Linked DNA regions of Kluyveromyces lactis. The protein of the gene in region 2 interacts with the protein of the main gene of each other region in a biochemical or structural test. Links are inferred from orthologs where the notes say so. Each region holds a gene or a part of one and is shown on either strand. Other genes may lie near its edges. The genes, in order: TLG2 and VPS45.

Region 1 (6,742 bases), on a different chromosome or scaffold from region 2:
TTCAATTGGTCTACCTTTTCATTTACTAGCTTTGTGGAAAGTGCATCACCTGCGGACTTGGAATCATCGGGCAGGATAGAAGACTGCAATTTTGTTTCGAATTCTTTTAAGGCCTCCGATTCCAAATCAGACAATTTCGCAGAGACCTTTTCCTGTAAGTATCTTTCTGCCTTTTGAGACCTAATGAAGTCCGATTCAGTTGAATTATCGATCTGAGCGATCAATTTGCTTTCGAAATTAACCGGCGTTTCCGGAACGTATACTTTAGTTTCGGCTGGTTTTGAAGGTTGGGCACCCATGGTTTAATGAACTATTGTATTGGAAAAAAGGTGTGTGCAACGGCGTTAACCTGGAGTTCTTTCGCAGAAGGACGGATCTGTCGCAATAAGAATGGGGTAATTGAATACGCTTCGAGGACGACTCTAAACTCTACAATTCTGGCAATAACGTACAACTTTCTTTAACATTTCATTGGTTTAAATTTTTCAGTATTTTCCTCAAAAGTTGAATAAGAGATGATATACAAATACATGTACATATATGTAGAGAGAGAAGACGAAGATGAAGATGAAGATATCAAACCTGACTATGGTGTCAAGTGCTCTTCACTTCATAGAATTCTGCCTCATGCCATATGAGGCCATTTGCGTTGGATCCACATACTAACTAACTTAATATTTAGCTATTCACGGGCCTTGTATGAATTTCTGTCCAGAAAAACAGTGTTTTTCACGCAACAACTGTCGGTATAGACACCTGCGATACCATCGAACGGTACTAGCTGTTCGTAGTTTCCCACCGCTTGATTGCATTGCATTGCATTGCATTCTACCTTTTCCTAATTCTTTCTTCCCCATGCGACTTGTACTTCCTAATGTAACTCTCCGTAGTATGCCAAAAGCCAAGTAACTCCTCTCGGTAGCCAAGTTGGTTTAAGGCGCCAGACTGTAATTTGAAAACACAAAGCAATTTGTAATCTGGAGATCGGGCGTTCGACTCGCCCCCGGGAGACTTATTTTTTTTTTTGAATCTTCTATGCCACAAAGAGAAAGAAAGAAAGGCCACACACACAGCCTTCACTGTGGACGGTATCGGCTGCAAAACCAGCCTTTCCACGAAACGGGAAAATTATGTCTTTTCCCTAAGCAGTATGATCGACCACAAGTACTATCCATATCATGGCAGATGCATATATGTGGTTTATATGGCAAAGCTGATATATATTTGTGCGATAGACACAGATGGCTTTCTTTGAGTGTGTAATTTACTTGTATAGTTTCTCCGTAAGTGTCCTACGGAGCTTGTTGACACAATATAGCAACATAGGGTGGATCAATCGACTGTTTTCTGTCGTTATCTTTCTGCAGCCTTTATCGCATTTTTTTTCTTTTGTTCAAGATTTAGATTTCGACTCGAAATCTCCATTTACTATTAAAAGAAGTCTTCTTCAAGCAACACTCGCTGGTTTGTTTAAAGACAGAGACTGGTTAAAGACGCGTTTCATTCGAGAAGTTAGCCGAATCTTGTTGCCTTTTGCACTCTAATTACAATTAAAATTGGAATCATTGTCAAATAATAACTAATATTGTGGTATTCAGTGGAAATAGTGGTGTCTGTCTTTTCCCCCATTTTGTAGATAACGTTTTGTGTCTCTCCGCTGATTTCAACTTGGAGGAGTTAAAAGGGCTCCAGTTTAATATCTAATACTGACCTTATACTCAGTATACTGATATAAGACGAATGGCCAAGAGGTTTACGTTCGGGTTTGCAACCCTTTTGTTTTTCCTGCAGTGTGTGGCATTAGCCTTTCTAATTTTGGCGTGTGTTTCTGCACCGGTTTTCGATAATGTCAGATTGGCAAGTTTCGATGGGATCCATTATGGTGTGTTTGGATACTGTGAAGATGACGGTGGTTCATGTTCTTCTGCTCAGGCGAATTATCACCCGGAAAATTTGGATGACGATGATTCGAATTGGAAGATGAATAACGATTCGAGAAAAGCCTTGGGTAGTATCTTGATCGTGACACCAATCGCTGCTGGGTTAACGTTTTTAGCATTGGTCACTAGTTTCCTATGCCAATTCAGGTTCTTTGATTCGAGCACTTTCTGGTTTGTTATGAATTTCTTGTTCTCCATCTTGGCATTTTTATCGTCTGCTCTTATCTGCATCGTGGTGATCCTTTTGTTTTATCCTCACGTTACGTGGTACTCGTATATTTTAATTGCTTCTGCTGTGTTGAATTTGGTTTGCTTGCCGTTATGTTTCTTTGCTCGTTCTCAAACGGCTTCTAATAGTAAGAACGGACTTGTCGATGAAGAAGATGAAGATCGTTCTTCAACGTCTATCAGAGACAAATTTTATAAAGAAGAGTTTAATCAAACAGAGGTGACTAATTTAGATGCTCCATCCATTCCGGATTATTATAAAGGCTCGAAAATCGTCACCAGCAACACTTTAAACTCTAATACTATCACTGACTCAGATGTGCCCTCTTCATATATGAACAACGGCAGTGTTGCTGCAACAACAGCAAACACTGCCGTAGTACCACCGCAAGGACTAGCAACCATGGCAGCAGCAAATAGTTATCAAAGACACAGTAACAATAACGATGCCACTTTGCTTCATAATGCTGTTCCAAAGCAGCCGTACTCCGCTATTAACCAAAGTGGTACCAATTCAAGTATGAATTCCTCTTCTAGGGCTTTGTCTTCTGGTAGAATTACGGCACCAAACAATAATTACAGCCAGCAGAATTTCTCTCAGATGGGAGAAATTGGTTCGTTGGCTCCATCATCAGTTTATGCTGAACACATAGCCGGTGGTAGTAGTGGGGTAATAGCATCAGACCTTCAACAGGGCAACAATAGAGGACAGTCACAAGATGAACTCACACAACCTCCAAAGACTCAACAAGACGTATTGCAGGATATTATCAATGGCGTCTTATCCGAGGATGAAGAAGAATTCTTGAAACAAAATACTGTTGATCCTAGTGAAAGACCTGCAATGGACACTTTTGATGATGATGGAATCAACGACGATGACTCTCAGTTCACATCGGTCTCTCAAAGAGGTATCAATCCAAATTACTACCAGGGAAGAGGTGGTGTACAGTATATCCCTCCTACTCATGGTCCACTACAGAACCAATTACAAGGTCAAGTACAAAATCCTGCTATGGCTCAAGGAATGGTTCCAAATGGTATGCATCCTACGCAACCGCCAGTTGTCGGGGGACAGTATTACCCTCCACTTCCTAACCAAGCAGGTCCGCAACAAGGATACTACCACCCTCCGCCACTACCAGTACAGCAACAACAACCACAACAACCACAACCTCCGTATTCGGCTGGTCCGTCTGCATCAGATTTCTTATTACAATCAAACCCTGAATTCTCCATCGGAACTGGTCCAGCATCATACGGAAATAGCCAAAGGAGTGCAGGGCTAAACTCCGCACCAGCATCTTCAATGCACTATAAACCTGCTTATAGGAAAAGGCTCCCAAGAAAAAATAACCTACCTCTGCATCCATGTCAAGAGACAGTCCCTATGGAGCATTTTAAGTTCTGATTGTAATATTCATACTGAAACCACTCACTTTTTAAACAAATTTATTCTATTTACTGTAACAGATAATATATAGACCTCCTCTCTAGTTAACTTTTTTGAACCTTTCTACTGTTACCAATTCGACAGTGGTCGTTTACTTCTATCACGATATCAAAATTTGTTTTCGAAGTTCGATGCAGTTTCTCCATCATAAGCAAGTTCATTAATATTTGACCATTTTTATTCTACATTACTTTCTGGATCCAGCAACGGGTCTCCATTAGGAGAATTGACCTCCACTTGTGATCCAGGAGGTTTGTGAGATTTTGAAGGAGCTGATTCTCGTATAGTATGGTGATGAGGTTTCAGCATGACAAGGAGGAATAACGCTAGAACGACCAAAGATAGAAATAGAATAATTTTACATTTTTGACTCCGTTTTTGGTAGTGCGTTGCCTTGTCTAACTCCTTTTGGGCCTGCTTTAATTCAATAACCGTGTTTTCTAAGTTATAATCGATCCTATCGACCACTGTACCTTGATCTATGATCAAAGACTGCATTTCCCTGAAAATAGTACTAACTTCGAGTACACCTTTCGCTAACTGTGTAATTTCCTCATCTCTTTGTTGCAAAAATTGCTGATTGTTATCCTGTAACTTCTGATTCTGTTTTTGTAAAGTCTGCTTTGAATATGAGTCGATGTTATTGACTTCATCTCCTTCAACTTCTTCCTCCAACAACATCAATGTATCGTTACTTGATTTCGTAGTGGGTAGTGGTTTGAAATCATCTTTATTCAAAAACTTCAAATGATTATTCTGTAATATTCTGAACTTCTGCGATTTGTCTTGCACTTTCAAAGCGTAGTTCTTTTCTAGGTTATCCAATATCCTTAACTCGTCCTTGCTTAGCTGCTTACCATTCGAATATTGAGAATCCTTAATTCTCGTAAGAGTCTTGATAACACCAAAACATTCTTGGAATCTCTTAATTACCTGGAAACTTATCTGCTCAATCTCCTCCTCATCCTGCTTATTGTCCTGGAATCCTGGTAAAGAGTTCTTTTGATATAGTTTCGTCAACTGTAGCAACAATTGATCTACTGCAGATAACGACTCATCCACTTGGAACGTTAAATCGAAAAATTTTGGCGGTAATTGACGGGAGAAATCATCCATAGCAACCATATCTTCATCATTGTTACCATCGTCACTACCAATGAATGGCTGGTTCTCCAAATCTTTATTCGATCGTAGATGCTTGGTACTCGAAAGCCTCTGATGGGGGAAAGTTCTCCTATAGGATAAAAACAAATTAGTTCTATCACGAAACATGGTGCAGTTCAAAAGCAAACAAGGGAAGAAAGCACGCACTACCACTAATCTGATCTAAATAATCACTAGATCGAGCCACTCGACCAGTTGTTCTGCAGTTATTTACATACACTTGTAATTTGACACCTTAAAGTGTTGTTGAACTTTCGGTTCTCAGCTTAAAACCTTTAAAAAATGGAAAATTTGGCAAGCACAACGATAAGATGAGATGCGATGAGATGCATTGAAATAGAGGCTGCAACGGTAGGTCCAAGTGAAGTGTAACCGGGAGTTACTGTTGTTAAGAAAGGGAATCATCACATCAACAATGTCGTTCAACAGAGATGATGACTCGAAGTTGAAGTTTAAGACTTCAAAGAAGCTCAAGGTATCTGCCACTTTTGAGTCGATGAACTTGAAACCGGATTTGTTACGAGGCATATATTTTTACGGCTTTGAATATCCATCATCCATTCAGTCTAGAGCCATTTCTCAGATTATCTCAGGAAAAGATGTGATTGCCCAGGCACAGTCTGGTACCGGTAAGACGGCCACATTTACCATTGGATTATTACAAGCAATTGATTCTAAGAGCAAAGAGTTACAAGCATTGGTCTTATCACCAACAAGAGAACTAGCGAGTCAAAGTGAATCTGTGATATCTAACCTAGGAGACTATTTGAACGTTACAGCACATGCGTGCACAGGAGGTAAGGCCTTACAACAAGATATCAAGAAAGTATCGAAAAATTGTCAAGTGGTCAGTGGTACACCGGGCCGTGTACTAGATATGATCAAGAGACAAGTATTGAACGTTAGAAACTGTAAGATCTTAGTTCTCGATGAAGCAGATGAACTACTCGGAGAAACTTTGGGGTTTAAACAACAAATCTACGACATTTTCACCAAGTTACCACCGACGATTCAAGTCGTGGTGGTAAGTGCTACAATGAGTAAAGATATATTAGAGATCACCAAGAAGTTCATGAGTGACCCGGTGAAGATATTGGTTAAGCGGGATGAGATATCCTTGGACGTGATAAAGCAATATTATGTGGATGTAGAAAAGGAAGAATGGAAGTTTGATACACTCTGTGATCTATACGATTCGTTAACGATAACACAATGTGTGATATTCTGTAATACAAGGAAAAAAGTGGATTGGTTATCCAGGAAGTTGACACAGACGAATTTCTCTGTGTCCTCAATGCACGGTGACATGAAACAGGAAGAACGTGATCAAGTGATGAATGATTTCAGGAGTGGAAAAGCCAGGGTGCTAATATCGACAGACGTGTGGGCTCGTGGTATCGATGTCCAGCAGATCTCATTGGTGATAAACTACGATATACCAGATAATCTAGAGAACTATATCCATCGTATTGGTAGATCCGGACGGTTTGGACGTAAAGGTGTTGCAATAAATTTCATCACGAAGGAGGAAAGACCCAAATTGAAAGAGATCGAATCGCACTATAGAATTAAGATCAAACCAACTCCTGCAAATTTAGAAGAGTTGTCGTGAGACTATGGGATATATATATATATATGTATGTATAGATATACATATGCTACAATTTACGGAGCTATGGAATCGAGTAGTTTCCGTATCTGAGCGTTTCGCTCATGGTACAGCTTAGACAGGTTATCTAAACCAGAAATATCAGTATTCTGACCCAAATCTGCACTTAATTCGTTCATGACAGTGAGTGATATGCAATTATCTCTTGGGTTTTGATCAAAAGCTAGTAACTGCCACCGTTCGCTAAGCATTTCTACATTGTTCACCGTGCCAGACGGCTCACTATCTATAATGATGACATTTTCGTAATCTAGTTGATCTTCGTCGTGCTGGCTCGGATCATCATCT
Region 2 (17,044 bases):
TTTGGTAGCTTTATAGTGACGAGTAAAGATTTCCCAACGTCGTGCATAATAACTCTGCATGCTGATGAGTTTCTTACTTCCTGTTGGAATTCTTGTTTTGGAGTTGCTTTAGCTCTGTCTAAATATTCGACTCTAGTTGATGGCTGGAACGATAACGTACTTGGACCAACATCAATACCTCCAGGCAAAGTTGTTGTTGGAAGTAGTTGACGGCACGTTTTTGGGATATCCCCAAGATCAGGAAGTTCTGCATCATGGGGTAGTTGCGGTGTACTTCCGGACGATGGGTGATTTTCTGTATTGCCTCTTCTATTGAAACGAACTTGTCTACGTTTCCTTCTAGTGTCTCTGTCCTTATCCTTAACCAAACGTTCTAGTTCTGCGGGAGATATCTGTAATAAGTTAGGTGTGTATAAAAACGTATCCTTTTGTGGTCTCATTACGTCTGCTAAGGTGAGTACAGGCAAGAATCTTGTTCTGATATCGTCTTCTTCAACGGGGCTACCGTCAAATTTGTAACCAACCATATATAATGACTTGTGATACATGTGAACTTGTTCTCTAATGCAATGTGCAATTGCTGTTAAGAATTCACCCGGAAGGGATAGTTCTTCGCATAAACACTCCGCGAACGATTCTGGACAATTATCTGGATTTGACACATCCCATTCAACGGTATCTATCAATTGATGTTGTCCAACGACAATATCTAGGTTGATTTTTATTCTGAAATCATCGCCCCCGAACCTCTGCACATTTTCAAAAGGATTTGGAGTATATTCTTGAAGTTGTTCTTTGATACTATTCACAATCTGTTGATACATCTCCGTGGTGACTTTGAGCCTATAATCCTTCAGCGTTGTTTTCACAAATTCGTTGATTGACAGTAGCGTGTCTGATCTGTTCCATACGAATGTGTCCCTCAAAGTAAATTTATCCTTTTCTGCATCAAACTCTAATCTAACAGGTACTAGTTCCTCCCCTGTTTGATTCATTGTCCATTCATATATTTCGTCCAAGTGCATTTCATAAGTGTCATCGACTTGAATCCTTGTGAGATCGTTACTGAAGCCATTTCCATATCCAGAATAACCGTCACCCCATATACTCTTAGATTTATGTCCTTGAGTTGTGTTGGTAATGGATTGCATTCGACTGTTCCTCAATTCTTTGTAATAATCAAGATCTTGCTGTAATCTCAATATTACCTCCCTCTGACTGAATCCGAATTTGGAAATAGGTTCCAATCCATTAGTGTCCGCCAACAAGTTGTCCTTATCCAACAAATCCCGTTCAATAACATGTTCATATAATCTTGTATCAAAACTCACAGGCTCGTTATCAGCTCTTTCTTTCTCTGACCATAACCTAGTATGAGGTAATGGAGTCTCAGGTGGGTCTTGAAGAATAGTTTGGAATTTGGGAATATCAGGAAGTTGTTTCTGAAACTTCTGAAGCACTTGCTGTAGTATTGCAGCTTGTGATGGTTGAGGTGGCTGTGGTACTGAAACTGGGACTTGTTGTTGTTGTTGTCGTTGTGGTGGTTGTCGTTGTGGTGGTTGTGGTGGTTGTGATTGTGGCTGTTGTGACGAAGGAACCATCGATTGATTACTGTTCATAACTGGTATATTCTGAGTTATAGGTTGACCTCCAATCATTTGTTGTGGATTCCCCATTTGTTGCTGAAGTGGTATACGAGGTTTCTGAGGTTGAGGCTGTTGAAGCTGCGGTTGGTTAGGAGGAATAATGTTGCGTGGCGGGGATTGATGTTGTTGCTGCTGAACAGGTTGTTGTGGTGGTACAGGCTGTTGTTGCTGTTGCTGTTGCTGTCTATGTTGTTGCTGTAATTTGACTTCAAGCTGAGTGATCATCAGAAGAGCGTTCTGGTTATTTCTCGCAATAGCCTGTTGTTTGATGGACTGAAGCCATTGCATTTGCAATGCCGGTGATAGTTGTGCAATTTGTGGAGGAAGATTCAAAGAAGTTCGTTGTTGAGATTGGGGAGGAGACTGCTGCTGTTGCTGTTGAACCTGCTGTTGTTGCAATTGCTGGGCTTGTTGCACCTGCTGAGCTCGTTGCTCCTGTTGCTGCTGCGTCTGAGATCTCTGCATTTGTTGTTGTTTGAGCTTCATTAGCTGCGCACGCTGAGCAGCATCCAATTGGTTCATATTACCGGGAGAAGAAACCTGTTCTTGCTGCATCTGCTGTGCTTGTCTTTGTCTCTGCAATAACAACTGTTGATGTTTCTGCTGAATCATCTGCAACTGCGCTGGCGTCAAGGATTGTAGGATATGTTGTGGAACCTGCGAAAGCGAAAAGGAAGGCGTCCCTATGTTACTCAAAGGGTTCGCATTGCCAGGATTCATTGGTGGGTTTGACATTCTCCTTTCAGCTTATATAGAGAAACAAAACTGCAACTAGTGTTTTCAATTGCAGACAGAAAGGGAAACACAGAAGGAAACTAGTATATTCTTTCTTGCGATAATTCTCAACCAAATGCTGTCAAATATACCCTTTCTGAAGCCTACCTGAAAGGTGTTCAGTTCCCTTAAAAACAAGAATTTCTTGTTGATCTTTAAAGTTTGTTGTTGGTCTTGTTCTTTCGTTCTTTGAATTCATGAAATTCACGAAATTTTGATTAACGATTAAGAGAAGTACGAGATGGAACAACCTAATGAAAAATTAAGGCAAGCAAACAGGATACAGCGGGTTATCCGCATATAGTTGGTTATCATAGTGAACTTAAGCAATTGGCTACAATGATTGTTAGCATATATGTCAATGATAGGTGCCAGGAAACGCTATTCCAGTACTCAACAGTAGCAGAGTGCCCTACTTTTCGGCAACTAGTTGTTAAACTACAAGGTAAAGACGAATCATGGGAGTCTAAATACTGCAATGAGATAAATTCTGAGTTGAAGCTTTGCAGACACGTTTCTTTGCTGAATCCAGTTGTTTATTGGTGTTTAATTTCGTGTTCAGAGTCCACAGTTTCCGTGGTATCTTTGTTAGAAGAGATAGATTTACTGTTGTTACAATATTTCGATAAGGACCAATTAACGAAGCAGAAGATAAATAATAACCTCGATCGATTATCGATGCTTTTCCATTGTATCCTTGATGCTGGGCAACCGGTGATAACAGACTCGAACCGTTTAAAGGCAATGGTCCCAAGTAGAAACGATTTATCGAAATTGTTGAAGACGACAACCAATACAATTACCAAGACCTTACAACAACCGGACGGGTCAATGTTTAAGAATGGTCCGGAAAAATCAAGGTTTAGTGGCAGTAGATATCCATCTTCATCCGCTTCATCCGTTTCCTCGTTCCACGTTGGGTCTCCTGGCTCCTCGTTAGTTGATCATTCCGTTGATGAATCTGGTGTCCCATGGAGAATGAGCGGCATCAACTATGCTAATAACGAAATATTCATCGATATGAGTGAGGAAATTAACGCTATTGTGGAAAAGGGGAAACTGTTAACCGGACATATCAAGGGTTGTATCGACTTAAACAACCATCTCAGCGGACAGCCATTGGTTGAGATGAAACTTGGGCTCTTAGACCACAAGCTTAGCCACTTAAACACGACTTTCCATAGATGCATCTTAGAGGATAAGGCGAACAGCATAAATGATTTAATCGCTGGGAAATTCACTAAGCTAACGTTTGTACCTCCTGATGGACGTACTAGGCTCTGTCAATATACCCTACCGTTGGTGAAAAGAGACTCAAACCTCGGCATTATAGACGTAAATTTACAAAGCAGTTTAGGTAAAAGACTTGACGAATTTGAGGTCCGCGTCACCGTTGGAATGAGCACGACGGTGAAAGAAATAGAAAACATGAGCATGACTATCAGGATGAATAGAAATTTTAAGGGAATAGTACGTGTCATGAGAAACACTCACGGCGGTGTCGAAACAAATATGACTCGTGGCGAAGTTAATTGGCATTTGGACAAAAACATGGTATGCGGTTCAATGGCTGTACTACGTTGTATAGCGGAACTGGAACCCGAACTCGCCTCCAATGACCAAACATCTAGTAGATCTTCGGTTGTTCAACCACCTAGTTCACACTTAACATCCTTACTACAACCTAGTTTCATCAAATGTTACTACGAACACAAATCCCAGCTTCCCTCCGGAATCAAACTTCAATCAATCGACGTAGTTAATGGAGGTCCAAAAAAACCGTTCAAAGGTGTTAAGTACCTCACAAAGACTGGTTCGCTAGAGTATAGGTGATGATACGTTAAATGGTTTATATATATGTATGTATGTATTTATGTATGTGTTTGGATCACGTGATATTTTTGTTTTATGTACTTTTCGAACGAGGAAAAAGTGTTCCAACTGATTAAAGACTTAAAAGGAATAAGTAGAGCCACCTTGGATAACAGATGTTTTAAAGTTTCTATGTATGCAATGCGGAGGGCAAGAGTGAATTCCAGAAGTTTCAGGGCTGTTCTATAGTGCCATTTTTACTGATCTCGACATAGAGCGGTTAATTTGGGCGATTTGCAGCTGATATTTGACGAATAATCGAGAAGAGGGGATCTTGAATCATAGCAATGAAGCGAGAAACGAGGGACCGTGGAAGGACGGACCTTGCACCAGAGAAGTATGTAGAGGACTCTGATCCAGAGCCTGAGGATGAAGGTGAGACTCGGTGTATTTGTGGGAAAATTGAACCGCCAGATGATTCGGGTCTTTATATTCAATGTGAACAATGCCATGTTTGGCAACATGGATATTGTGTGGGCATATCTGAGGAGGAAACTCCGGATAAGTATTGGTGCGAGCAGTGTAAACCAGAGCTACACTCGCTCTACACAACGGATCTTGGTGAGAAGAGGTCAATATACAAGCCAATTCAGCAACGCCGTAGGAAAAATAGAAGGTCGAAAAGAAACTCCGAATCGGATGGAGAAGTATCAAACGCTGGAAGTTCACTAGAGAACCAATCTCCTTCTAGCTCAGTGGTTAGTGGAAATATTGGATCTCAAAGATTATCTCGGCAAAGGAGAAATAGTAGTAATGTTGAATTATCGAAGGATGAAGGTGAAGATTCTATTGCGGACTCCGGAAATGGTGAAGATAAGGATGAAAATATTCCCAAGCGCGAGTTTGATCCAATTGATGAAAATCAAAAGGTTGCAGATCGTAAACGTGCTACATCCAGTGCCAGGGAAGAGAAACATTATCAACTTATGCTAGAGAAAGCCCTACGCGAAAGCAGACGCTCTTCAAAAGATGGCACCGATCCCGAAGACCAAGATATTTTGAAGGAAGAAGAGGCATCAGGGAAGTCCGCCTCACCAAAGAATTACACTAGAGATACGGAATCTCCAGAAGTGGAAGGATCTGAAGCTGATGAAGCAGCTAGTCAATCAAGAAAACGAGCTAGAACGACAACAAAATCTACATCGCCATCAGGTTCCGAAGATGACTCCAAATCAAAAAGATCAAGAAGAGGTAAGAGCAATGGTTCAACCACGCAAAGTAACTCAAGGATTTACAAGACCTCAAGTGGAAGAGTTGCAAGGAATTCTAAAGCTAGCAGCTCAAAAGGATCGGGTTCCTCTGGAAGTTCAAACTTGTCGAAATCTAATGGACAATCTAATGATATCGGAATCAACAAGCCTCTAAAACCCAGGATTCCCTCTCAGAGGACCACTATGCATGAAATGAGAAGAAGAGTTAACGCTATTCTGGAATTTATCTCAAGGACACAGTTAGAAATATCTAATGACCAACGTCAACGGGATCAGTTGTGCCAGTTTGTGGAAAACGAAGAATTCCTGGAAAATATTAATAAAATATTCTCCAGTTACGACGAATCCTTCAAAACGATGGATGAGCTAACGAGGAAATTACTGCTTTGGGAGCAAAAGTTTAGTCCAGCTTCTTAAAAGCATGATAGAGAGTGTTCTTTTCTTGTTTCATACATTTCCTTACCTAATTCTACATCTGAAGTACATACGTAAGTTCATAATAAGTCAACTGGTTTATCATTAACGGCGCAAACATCTGTTAAAAATTGCTCTGTAGAAATAATCGAGGTTCCTCCAATGATAACTCTGCAATTGTCCTTATTTTTACTCTGTTTCTCATTGAATTGATGTACTGCGCGCGCTTCTTCTATAGTGAGGCCTCCGACGATCAATATAACAACATCTTGTGGCATATATGTCTTAGGGTCAATATTTTGGTTTAAAAGAGTCACTCCCTCTTGTGGGAACTTGTTTTTATCCAAATCGCTGAGAAGTGTTGTCAATTCAGGAACATGTTGCATAAACACATTTTCAGCGCTGGTGCTGCCTAATCTGTTGAATTTCTTGGTTAATCCACTAATCAAATCATTGTCCTGAGGAGCTTTGTGTTTATTGAATATTGACCCAAATCTCTGTTTAAATTGAAAGTAAAGAGAAATTTGTGTGGGATCACACTGTTGTCTTAGAATATTCTCCAACTCAGAAACTCTAGATTCGTTCTTGCCGTGTCGTAGAACAAAAATGCAGCATAATTTTAATTTGTAATATGATTCTAAGGTTGGTAAGTTTAGAATTCTCTTCAGTTCTACAAAGTCATCGTTATTGTCATCATGTGAAGAGAGGTTTTGCTCTAGCTCACTGACTTCCCATATATTCTTCAGTTGTAATTGCCTATCTAATTCACTAACAATGGCCATATGTTTTGAAATGTTGCCTGAGAGTTTCTTAAATTCGGGGAACTTTTCGATGAACTCTTTAATATCTTCTATCGTATTGATTTGTTTGGTAATGTTGGTCTTATTTTTATACTGAGTAACATAGTTCTTCACCTTATCTGCCAAATCACCAAAATTCATATACATTGTTTCTTTGAAGAACTTATCTTGTTTTGAAGAGAGTACAACCTGCTTCAAATCGGGATCGATATTTGGTACATTCGAAAGGTCTACCAAGTTTCTTTTTATTCCGATATATTCATTTATCATCGATTGATAGGTCCACGGTTGAAGTAATGGTGTCAATGGATCCGATTTCCTGTCAAGTAAAATTAGTAACGGATTCGAATCTCTGACGGGAAAATCAAATAACTGCCTTTCATTTGTCTTAATTTCATACTCTAAATCCTTAGCTAACTTTTGACACAATTTGCTATCCGAGTCATACGCAATTGTCGGATTTAGTTTTAACGATAGTAGCAATGAGATTAACCCGTTAGACGTCTCCTGCAATCCCTTTGGATCCCATACCAATTGATTTTGGAGAAGATTGTACAACGGGATCTCTAAAGTGAAGACATCCTCGTTCACAATTAGGTAGTCTTGGAAAACTTCTTCTACATGTGTGACAACCTCCATATCATCTCTTTCGGCTAACCGTTCCAACTGGGACTTACTCACCTGGTTATTGAAGAAAATCTGGTATTCGCCATACTTGGGATCCTGTAATTCGTGTAATAGGTCTTGAATCGTATCCTCAGTGGGTTTCAAATAGCATAAACATTTCAAATGTGGCATTGGATCTCTGTGAATATTCTCAAGTTTATCGACCAAGTAAATCTCGTGCTTTAATAGCTCGGTTTGAGTAGTACACATCGATATCGTAGAGAGTGTGTCATTATCCAAAATCAATGCCTTTACTCTCGACTTCTCCTGTATCGAGGTGTCCGACGGTTTGGACTGGAAATTTGCGATTCTGCTGATATAATAATCACCAACCGTAAACAAATTCATTACGAAAAAGTGCTCTATCCTCTCAATTTCAAAAGAACTTGGATATCTTAATTGCTGATTCACCGTTGGCACGCGCTACAGCAGCCTTAATCTACCGTTTCTCACTGCTACTTTGTTCCATGCAAAAGTTTAAGGTCATTTCTCCTTTAATACTTATTTTCAAAAAGAGTTGAAACTAAGATTCTGGCACACATCAATCCATCTTTGTTTAACTACAAACAAACACAGGAACAACAATCTTGCTATAGCCTGTGATTCCAAACTTTACATTTAGGTGGGAAATAGCAATTTTTCCACAATTCTGTACAGTCAAGGTAATAATTCTTAAGTTGAGGCTACTGGCTATTCTTTACAACAATGGCCACAATTTCCCGTGTGAAGCCTGTGAAGACTAATTCAGATACCAGTCTATCACAGTATATGAAGCAGAAGAAAGGACATGGAAAACCTAAACAGTTCTCTGCAAAATCTAGGAGCAAGAGCAACACCAGTTTCAAGAACTTACAGAAATTACACAAGGTAGGAAGCCACGATGCATTGAATAGAGGACTTTTCGATCCTATGAAGAAATCGAAGAGTTCGGACTCATTGAACAGACGCACGGTACACAGTGGTCTCAGTATGACGGCATTGGTAAGAACATCATCTCATCCAGTTGTGCTACACCAGAATAGTCACAGCATGAAGCATAAGGGCCTAATTAGTGATAGGAACTCCAAGTCCGTCATCCTAGATCTTCACGATTCTGGGGATAACGATTCTATGACTGATGAAGAGGTAGAGTCTTTCACCGATATAGAAGGAGATGATGCATCAGATGATGAGACAATAAATGGAACGGGCAAAAATTCAACAACTCAGAGGAACTCGATGCATAGCATCAATGATTTTCAGGACAGAGCTGGGTTAAGAGTGGATTCTGGTAGACCTCTACAAAGGCCATTGAGCTATAAACCACCGTCACGGCTTAGAAACAGAGTTGATGCAGATGATGATCATATTTCATCAAGAGCTGTGAGCCCAATGGATAATGACAAAATTGACGCTCCTGACAGGGAAGATGACCTTATTGACCCTGGCAATCAGGACACTATATCGAACACGAATAGTCTAAGACGCCACAGGCAACATATGTTTGATTTCAATAATGGAAACGGTAATCTGCAGAAATCTTATAATGTGGAAACTACGGAGCATGAGGATATTATAGCAGCGAACACTGCCGTCGATGAAGGAGTGCGTCGTTATACTGAAGAAGATATTATTGACGGAATTACACATACAGCAACAAACGAAAAAGCAAATGAGGATATTGGTAGTGATGATCCTAAGCGATATTCATTCGCAAAAGCTGGCGCTGTAACTGATGAACAGTTTCCTGAGGATCCCCATAGTAATGACAGTTCCTCCTCCAGTAAGAATGGCAATATGATTCCTGATAGCAACAACACTGCTCTGAATGGTTCTAATATCGACTCTGAAACACAAGGAACGGAACAATACGTTCCTGATATGATTCTATCTCAGTCTACCGGAATGGAAAGAAGATTTGATCAATTATCTCGTCAGAGTTCGTTAGCATGGCTCGACCCAGCCGAAAATAATAACGATAAATCTCTCAAGATACAGAATACAAAATCCAATAAATTTAACTATATCAATCAAGATTTGGCAGCTTCGTTGAAAAATGACAATATTGATCAGCCATCTCCTCCGCGCCATCAAGAACAGCAGCCGAAACAATCGAAGGCCGACTTTTCTACAGCTATATCCAGTTTAACCAGTCATTTGACAAGGCCCGTTTCACGCGACCATCTTTTACGTGCGAACACTGTATCTCAGTCACGTCCACGGCAGCAATCACTCTATCGGCAACCATCGTACAGTGAGAATGATACCAGCGGTAATGGCATGACAGATTTCTCGTCATTTTTGCAATACGGAGACGTCGGAACTGACTCAAGAACACAACAAAAGTTATGGTTGCAAAGAGAAAATTCAATACAAGATCTAAGCAGTCAAAACACCTCTCCTGATGCAGTGTTCTTGGCCTCGAATGTGGAGGTGAGAAGAGAATTTGAAAGAATTTCTAGAGAATACACTAATGTTAGAAGATTCTCTAATCCGTTGGCAGATTCTTTGAGCAGAATATCGCAACAACAAAGTATTGAAATACAAAAACAAAAGAAAATTAGCACGGGTGAGAACGCAGGAAGCTTCTTCGGAGTCGATTACGACAAGGGTAAATCATCCAAGGAAACTAACTCAACTGCCAATAAGTTGGAAATGCAACGTATGCTCACCAAACTTTGGAACAGCAATACATTAGAATTTAATAAGGACGAAAATCCTCTAGTTCAATCAAATCCTGAACTCATGACAGTGCAGCACCCCGGTACCTATCGAAACACCCGTCCATCCCGGATGTCCAGTTCTCAACATCAAAGAGCAGTAAACTCGTTGCATCCCACTACTAGGGCAGTAAATAGAAGAATGGAGCATGTTTTGAACCAACAGCATGTGTAAACAGAAGTATATATGCATTCACAAGCATTTCGGATATGCACTCGACATATTGTAGTATTTTCATCATTCTCTAAGAAGTTTCACTTTAAGATATAAACTTTAAATGTAACTTTCAGAATAAAAAACAATAATCTTAATGAATTATTGAAGCTATTTATCAAAATATAAATCGAACATGAGGTATTAGGTTGTCAAATAGTATCTTGTCATTTTCCAGATAGCATATATTCCGCACATTTATAAACGTATTATTTAGAAGATTTTATATCACTACGTCAAATCGTGTCAGGAACTTTGAAGCCGAACTTTCTTCCTTCATCATAAATGTTCTCTAGATACATTTCAAATACACCCTTCTCCTTTAGCTCCAAATACTTTCTATAAAGTAACAACGCAGTATGTGCGTCTTCGATGGAGTCATGATTTCCTGTTTGCACCTGTTTTCTCAAAACCGCGAACGCCAAATAACGTAGAGAAAGATATCTTTTCCCTTTTAAATAATACAACGACGTGTCTCTAATTTGAGATTCTGGGACATATATATTGATCTGTCTGAAATCATTGGTTAATCCATGTCCTACAAAAACACATCCCAATTGAAGTAGTAACCACATTTTTCTGTAAAAGACTTGTCTTTTAACCAAACTTTTTTTACTCAGTTTTGGATCCAAGTCTCCTGGCTCGATACCACTGAATTGGGTTAGATAATCCTCGATATGACACTCATTTATAATATAGTCATCAATGAATGGAACACCTTCCAACTCACCTTCACCTCTCAACAAAGATACACGAGCCAAAGACTTCTTAGCTGGTTTAAGCAAGGTTTTCATACCTTTACAATTGATTTCCAAGTACGGTTCTGTCAAAGACACGAATTCCGCGTCCAAGGCAACTAAGGTGCCCGGTCCTGGTGCTTCATCTTTAGTCAATAGTCTGTATTGTCTTATCACGTCTTTTCTAATGCCCTCACTGAAATAGTCACGATATAGGATGTCTGTGTCAACCTTTAATTTCGAAACTGAAACAAATGGCTTTCTGATTTCTTCCGCATCAGAATAAACAACAATTTCTGGTGTTTTCCACCAGTACGAAATATTTAAAGCCTCATCCTCATCAATTTCTTGTACCAAAAAGTCATTAAACATGTACCACTTGTACTGTTGTATTTTCTGATCCAAGATCTTAGCGTACGTGACCAAATGCTCCTCACCGAAATCGTCTGTGATTCTTGCGACATAGGACATTAATTCGTACTTGAAGATAGCATTAGACGTCTTGAGGTCAGTGGCCTGAAGTTTCAAGATGGGTCTATCCTTAGAGATTGTGGCAAAAAAGTGGTTTGACAACCATCCATTAACAGTTTTAGCAGTTGTCCATTCTTCTGGTGACAAACAAATATTGAGTGAAAGTAAAGGTGGTAAATTTCTGACTATGCTTTCGTATTCTTGATTTTGCAACTTCTCGCATTTAGAACATCTTGCTGTCAATTGCTTGAACCTGCACATGGATGATTCAATATACGGTAGAATGGTTTGGTTACTCAGTTTCTTATTGCTATATTTTACGTTGTTGCTTGCCGGACTTAAAACTACCAAAGACGACACGAGATGTGGCTGGCGAACGAAATTTCCGCAGGTAGATAATGTGTGAATTTCAGTATCCACATTAAGCCCAAATAATTCTTCTAACACAATCGCGTCAGTTGAATGCAACTTTCTTTCAACTTCTTCTGATATTAATCTATCAAGTAAGAAAATATTAAACTTTTGAGCCACAGTCATATATTTCCCATAGGACCTTTTCATTATTTCTTCTGCGTCAGCATCTACTGACAAATTCAAGTTATAGATGTGAGAGGATAAGTTCCCTTCATCTAAAGAGGGCTTGCCAGCATGCCCTGATACAGTTGAAATTTCGTCAGTAAATAAACCCAGCTCATTAGCCGTTGATATTGATTCAAGAACATCAACAAAGTTAGATGCTCGGCAAATTTTACCATTCGCTCTTGTCATCATATCAAACAAAAACCCAAGCTCGGTCAAAACAGACTTTTCTTGAATGTGTTCATCTTCCAAACAGTTCACTACAAAGTTGTAAACTTCAGGAACGAAACGGTACAAATGGATTATTTCATTGATATAAACACAGTCAATATCTGTTTCCAATCCCGAATACTGAGTTGTATTGAATCCACCAAAATCGAAATCCATTACTCCAAACTTCCCATATATCATTTGTAATTTGCTGTATGCTGGTGGGATATCAATGTTATTGGAAGGTTTATATTCTAGTAGTTCTTTCCTATGTTGATTATCTTCTGTCGTACTTACCATTTTTTTTCTTCTTTCCCTTAGCGACTTATAAGGCTCTATAACATTTCGAGGGCCATATTTGAATTTGTTGTACGGCTGTAATGAATACTTACTGCTTGACAAGTGAGAAAGAGACCTGTTAACACTCTTCGTAGAATTATTGTCGGTTTCTGAAGAACTGCTTCCTTCAATCTTTTTAGATATGATTCCTTCAGTTTTGAATACAGTGTGAGGCCATGCCGACAACAATGTTTCTGAGTAATAGGGTAGCCCAATTGAACTTAAAGGGTACGATTCCTGACCCACTTCGACTCTATATGGGATGAAACTGTCTTCGGGGTAATCCTGGTATTCAAGTACTGCAGCAGAGTTGGTAAATCCAGACATAGAGTTTGATCTGTTCCACATATTTATCATGCTTTCTTCTTCAAGAAAGGCAAGATAATCACCACTGGGAGAAAGCGTGAATTGGCTAATAGATTTGCAAGGATGGATGTATGGGGTTCGTAGGCTTGGATTGACCAAATCTATGAAATCGAAACTTCCCGAAGAAGACGCAACAGCCACGACCGTTGGCAACACTGGATGCAATTGTAAAAAGTCCGCACCTATCGGAAATTTGGACGATGTGTGATTGCCCACAAAATTAGGCGTTTTGGAAAAAGAGATGGGCGGTAATTGCTTCATTATTCTCACATCGTAAACGTTTATGAATTGATCAGACTGCAAGTAGCCAAACGTTTTTGATTTTCCCGCAGTTACCAAAGTATTATCTTTGAAATCCATCGAGGTAATTGATGCAGAGTGTCCCGATAAAGAATGTATCACCCTATTACTGACTGGATCAAATAAATCTATAGATCCCGCTTGCTTACCAATTGCCACAAGCTTGTTATTTGAGGACATGTGCTTTACCTTTGAAGTAAAGTATGTGCTTGATGCTAGTGTTCCTTTTATCAGATCCACAGATATTATACCACTGGCTGTATTACCACCAGCACATAGTACTTGATTTTGGTTATTGGTATAGTAACACATGGTCTTCATATCGGAAAGTTGTGCGATATCCGCTGAAGTTAAGCTCATCTGAGTGACACCCCTTCTATTAGAGAAATGTAAAGAATCGGAGCTTAGTGATAGAATACCATTTTTATTGCTTAAAAGGTCAACAACAGGCATTGAGCCTATATGTGCCGTATGTCTGGTATAAAGTGAATATGTCGGATCATATGATGATACGCGTCCGTAGGAATCTCCGGCCCATATTAGATTAGCCTCAGTATCAAATACTACCTTTGTTACTTGCTTTTCCTTTTTATCATACTGCAAATAGGGCTTCTTTAAATGATACGTCAGATCTTCTGGTGACTGATAGGAAAGTTGCCAATTGTTCATCACTGGTTACTATAGTTCAGTTATTTAGTAATCCCCTTTCATACATTCAAAAGAGCAACGGTAAGTATCTCGTACCCTAACAAATCACAGATGCACGGTAACTATAGTTCGCTTTTACCAGCTGAATTCCAATCGAATAACCTGAAAGACCTGTACAGGTACCGCTAGGTTTAAAAATTATACAGTAAAGTGTCTTTTACTCTGGTTAGTTCGGGATATACCTCGTCCCTGGCTGCTTTGTTCTTCACTTCACTCTATGTTTATGTTTGTTTTGACCTTTTTACATGGTTTTCTTAAAATTTTTCAATGTTATCGCTCAATGGACCTGGTAAAATAGAATGACATTAACGATGAGATGACCTTTTAATGATCGAGAAAAGTGGAACAGTGGAATTAGGGAACACTACAAGGACCTTCAGGGTTGATACCGAAATAAATAAGGATTCAAAGGGTAGTTGCATGTAATGCTACAAAAACTGAATCATGTTGGTCCCTCTCTGGCCGTAAAATTCTATGAGAAGTGGTGCTTATGTTCACAAGGTCCATTCATCGAGGTATTCGATTATTCGAATGGATCTAGCATTAACCGCTGTCATATTTTCCATAGAAACAAAGTTCATGGTATTAGCATAGATAAGACATCTGGAAATGTGTTGGTTTACGGTTCAAGATCCTTTTCAATCGTCAATATAAATGATCTCTTTTCGAAAAGTGAAGTGCTTGACCAGGAGAAAATGACTGGTGAATGGATCATGAGCGGTGAGTTTAGCTTCAATAAAGAAGAAATATATCTTTTAACCAGTTACAACAGAGTTCTGATCATCGATCCAGATAACTTCACTGTTAAAAGTACTCATTTTGTGGAAGGTGAACGGTCGATTTTATATTCTGGTTCCATAAAGGTTCTTCGCCATAAGGTTCTCGTAAATGCTGGAACAATCATGAATGGTATTATAGTATGGGAACTAGACTCAAAGAAGAAAATACACACTCTGCGTGGTCATGAAGGTTCTATCTTTTATGTGACTACTAGTAATAATGGGAAACTTCTAGCCAGTTGTTCTGATGACCGTTCCATAATTATTTGGGATATGGTTTCTGGAAAGCTTTTATCAAGGGCTTGGGGCCATACAGCGAGGATATGGAATTTAAAGTTCTTCAATGATGATACACAGCTCATCAGCGTTTCAGAGGATTGTACATGCAGAGTCTGGAACTACAAGAACGATGAATTAACTATAAAAGATATTTTCGAGAGTCATCTAACTAAGAATGTGTGGGGGGTTGATGTGGAGGAAACCAATCTAATTGCTATAAGTGGAGGAAACGATGGTCGGTTAAAAGTTACGGAACTTGTCCCGCATAATAGATCATGCAATATTGAACTTTCTCTGGAAAGCATCTCAGAACAATGCGACGGTTTCATTCATAAAGCCAATGAAATTGTAAAAGGTTTCCACTGGTTTGATTTTGGTTTAGTTTTAATCACATCGGAAGGTAACATACTTGAATACCTTCAAAATATAGAGGAATGGAAGTTCTTAGATTATGACGATCGATTTTTCAGTTTTTCTATTACCCAAGGAAACGAAAACACCATCTTCTTCATGAACAACAAATGCTTATTGACATCGTTTAAATTTGATAAATTCGGTTCTGTGTTGCAAAAAGTCGACTATGAACTAGAACTTCTTACTAAAACGGTAAACTGCTTATCAGTAAGACACACTGCTCATTTCTACCTTATAATTGAATCGCCGAATCCTAGAGACCCACTGTTGATGTTAAAATTCAACCATGGTTCCTGTGCTCCAACAGAAAGGTATACGTTTTCTAAACCTGAAAACATGATATCAAGTTGCGCAGAAGTTCATAATAATCGCTTACTGGTGGGTGCAAGATTCAGCTTGGCATTTATCTTCGACCTTGCATCAGAAACGAAACCTCCAATTGTGGTTAAAACTCAAGCAGCTGATGCAATAACTTCTATTAACTATTTGGAAACCACAGAGAATGATGCATTATTCTCAATGACTAACAGAGATGGAACTTATTTCTTTGTTGCTGTAGACTTCAGAAGCTCTGTGTACAAAACAATACACGCCAATAAAATTAGCCGAGGTTTTTTGGAAGGTTCATTTTATGATTCAAATGATGATTTCTTCGTCTACGGATTTAAGTCTAACTTGTTCCATATTTATAACGAATCCCAACAATATGAAGTATTCAGCCAACCATGTGGCGGAGCACATAGGCAATGGAAGCTTTTTGGATCTCAAGAGCAACAACAGGTGCTCTGTTTTGTGAAAAATTCTACCCTCAACATTACTAAGATACCCAAAGGCAAATACCCAGGAGCTTTAAAAAATGGAACTCATGGAAGGGAAATAAGGGATATCTCATTCCGAAAACGCTCAAACTATTGTAAGGAAAACCTACTATTTATTACTGGATCAGAAGACACAACAGTTAAATTGTCTTCTATCAATTCAGAAACCGGAGCTATTCAAAATTTCTGGACTCTGAAATCTCATGTGTCCGGCTTACAACGATGCAAATTCATCTGTGACAATTTTTTCATTACGTGTAGTGCAAGGGAAGAGCTATTCTTATGGGAATTGAATGATCAATTCTCTCATCCATATGTGAATTTGAAACAGAAACTAATCCCTTCTATGAACAATCCAGACCTTCGGATAATGGATTTCGATGTGCTATTTTTGAATGGTGACACTTGCGATTTCATAATGGCTACAGTATACAGTGACAGTTCAGTGAAAGTATGGCACTACTTTAACGAGCAAAATTCTTTCACCTTGATCATAGATGGAAGATATGAAACCTGTTGTATCTGGAACGTTGCTTTCATTCCGTTACAGAATTGCTTGAAACTTCTGATTGCACCAACAGATGGTCATTTAATTACATGGGACATCACTAATTCCGTTCCGTTCGAGATAAGGAATAATGAGCTTTTTGACAGGGGCCTCAAATTGGAAACAAAACAATTACAAAACTGGTCCGAAAAAATCCTGGTACACACAGCAGGTATCAAATCACTCGACGTGAAGCTTGAC

The links.
Region 1: the proteins of VPS45 (region 2) and TLG2 form a complex in vitro, tested with the Saccharomyces cerevisiae proteins (2 studies listed by BioGRID). The link is inferred for Kluyveromyces lactis from reciprocal best matches to the Saccharomyces cerevisiae genes VPS45 and TLG2.

What each region holds. Positions count from the first base shown.
Region 1 is NC_006037.1:926,714-933,455, reverse strand, and holds TLG2 (t-SNARE syntaxin TLG2), read right to left. Parts: upstream 4,894-6,742; coding exon 3,799-4,893; downstream 1-3,798. Other genes in the region: MIC19 (Mic19p), read right to left, coding at 1-299; KLLA0_A10703g (uncharacterized protein), read left to right, coding at 1,741-3,579; ATP-dependent RNA helicase FAL1, read left to right, coding at 5,201-6,397; ATG31 (Atg31p), read right to left, coding at 6,451-6,742. UniProt on the Saccharomyces cerevisiae protein: t-SNARE that functions in transport from the endosome to the late Golgi and on the endocytic pathway.
Region 2 is NC_006041.1:1,666,344-1,683,387, forward strand, and holds VPS45 (Vps45p), read right to left. Parts: upstream 7,732-17,044; coding exon 5,998-7,731; downstream 1-5,997. Other genes in the region: SNF5 (Snf5p), read right to left, coding at 1-2,381; APM3 (Apm3p), read left to right, coding at 2,760-4,253; CTI6 (Cti6p), read left to right, coding at 4,580-5,920; TCO89 (Tco89p), read left to right, coding at 8,089-10,257; PAN2 (poly(A)-specific ribonuclease), read right to left, coding at 10,533-13,967; tRNA (34-2'-O)-methyltransferase regulator RTT10, read left to right, coding at 14,432-17,044. UniProt on the Saccharomyces cerevisiae protein: Essential for vacuolar protein sorting. Function in membrane traffic between the Golgi and the vacuole.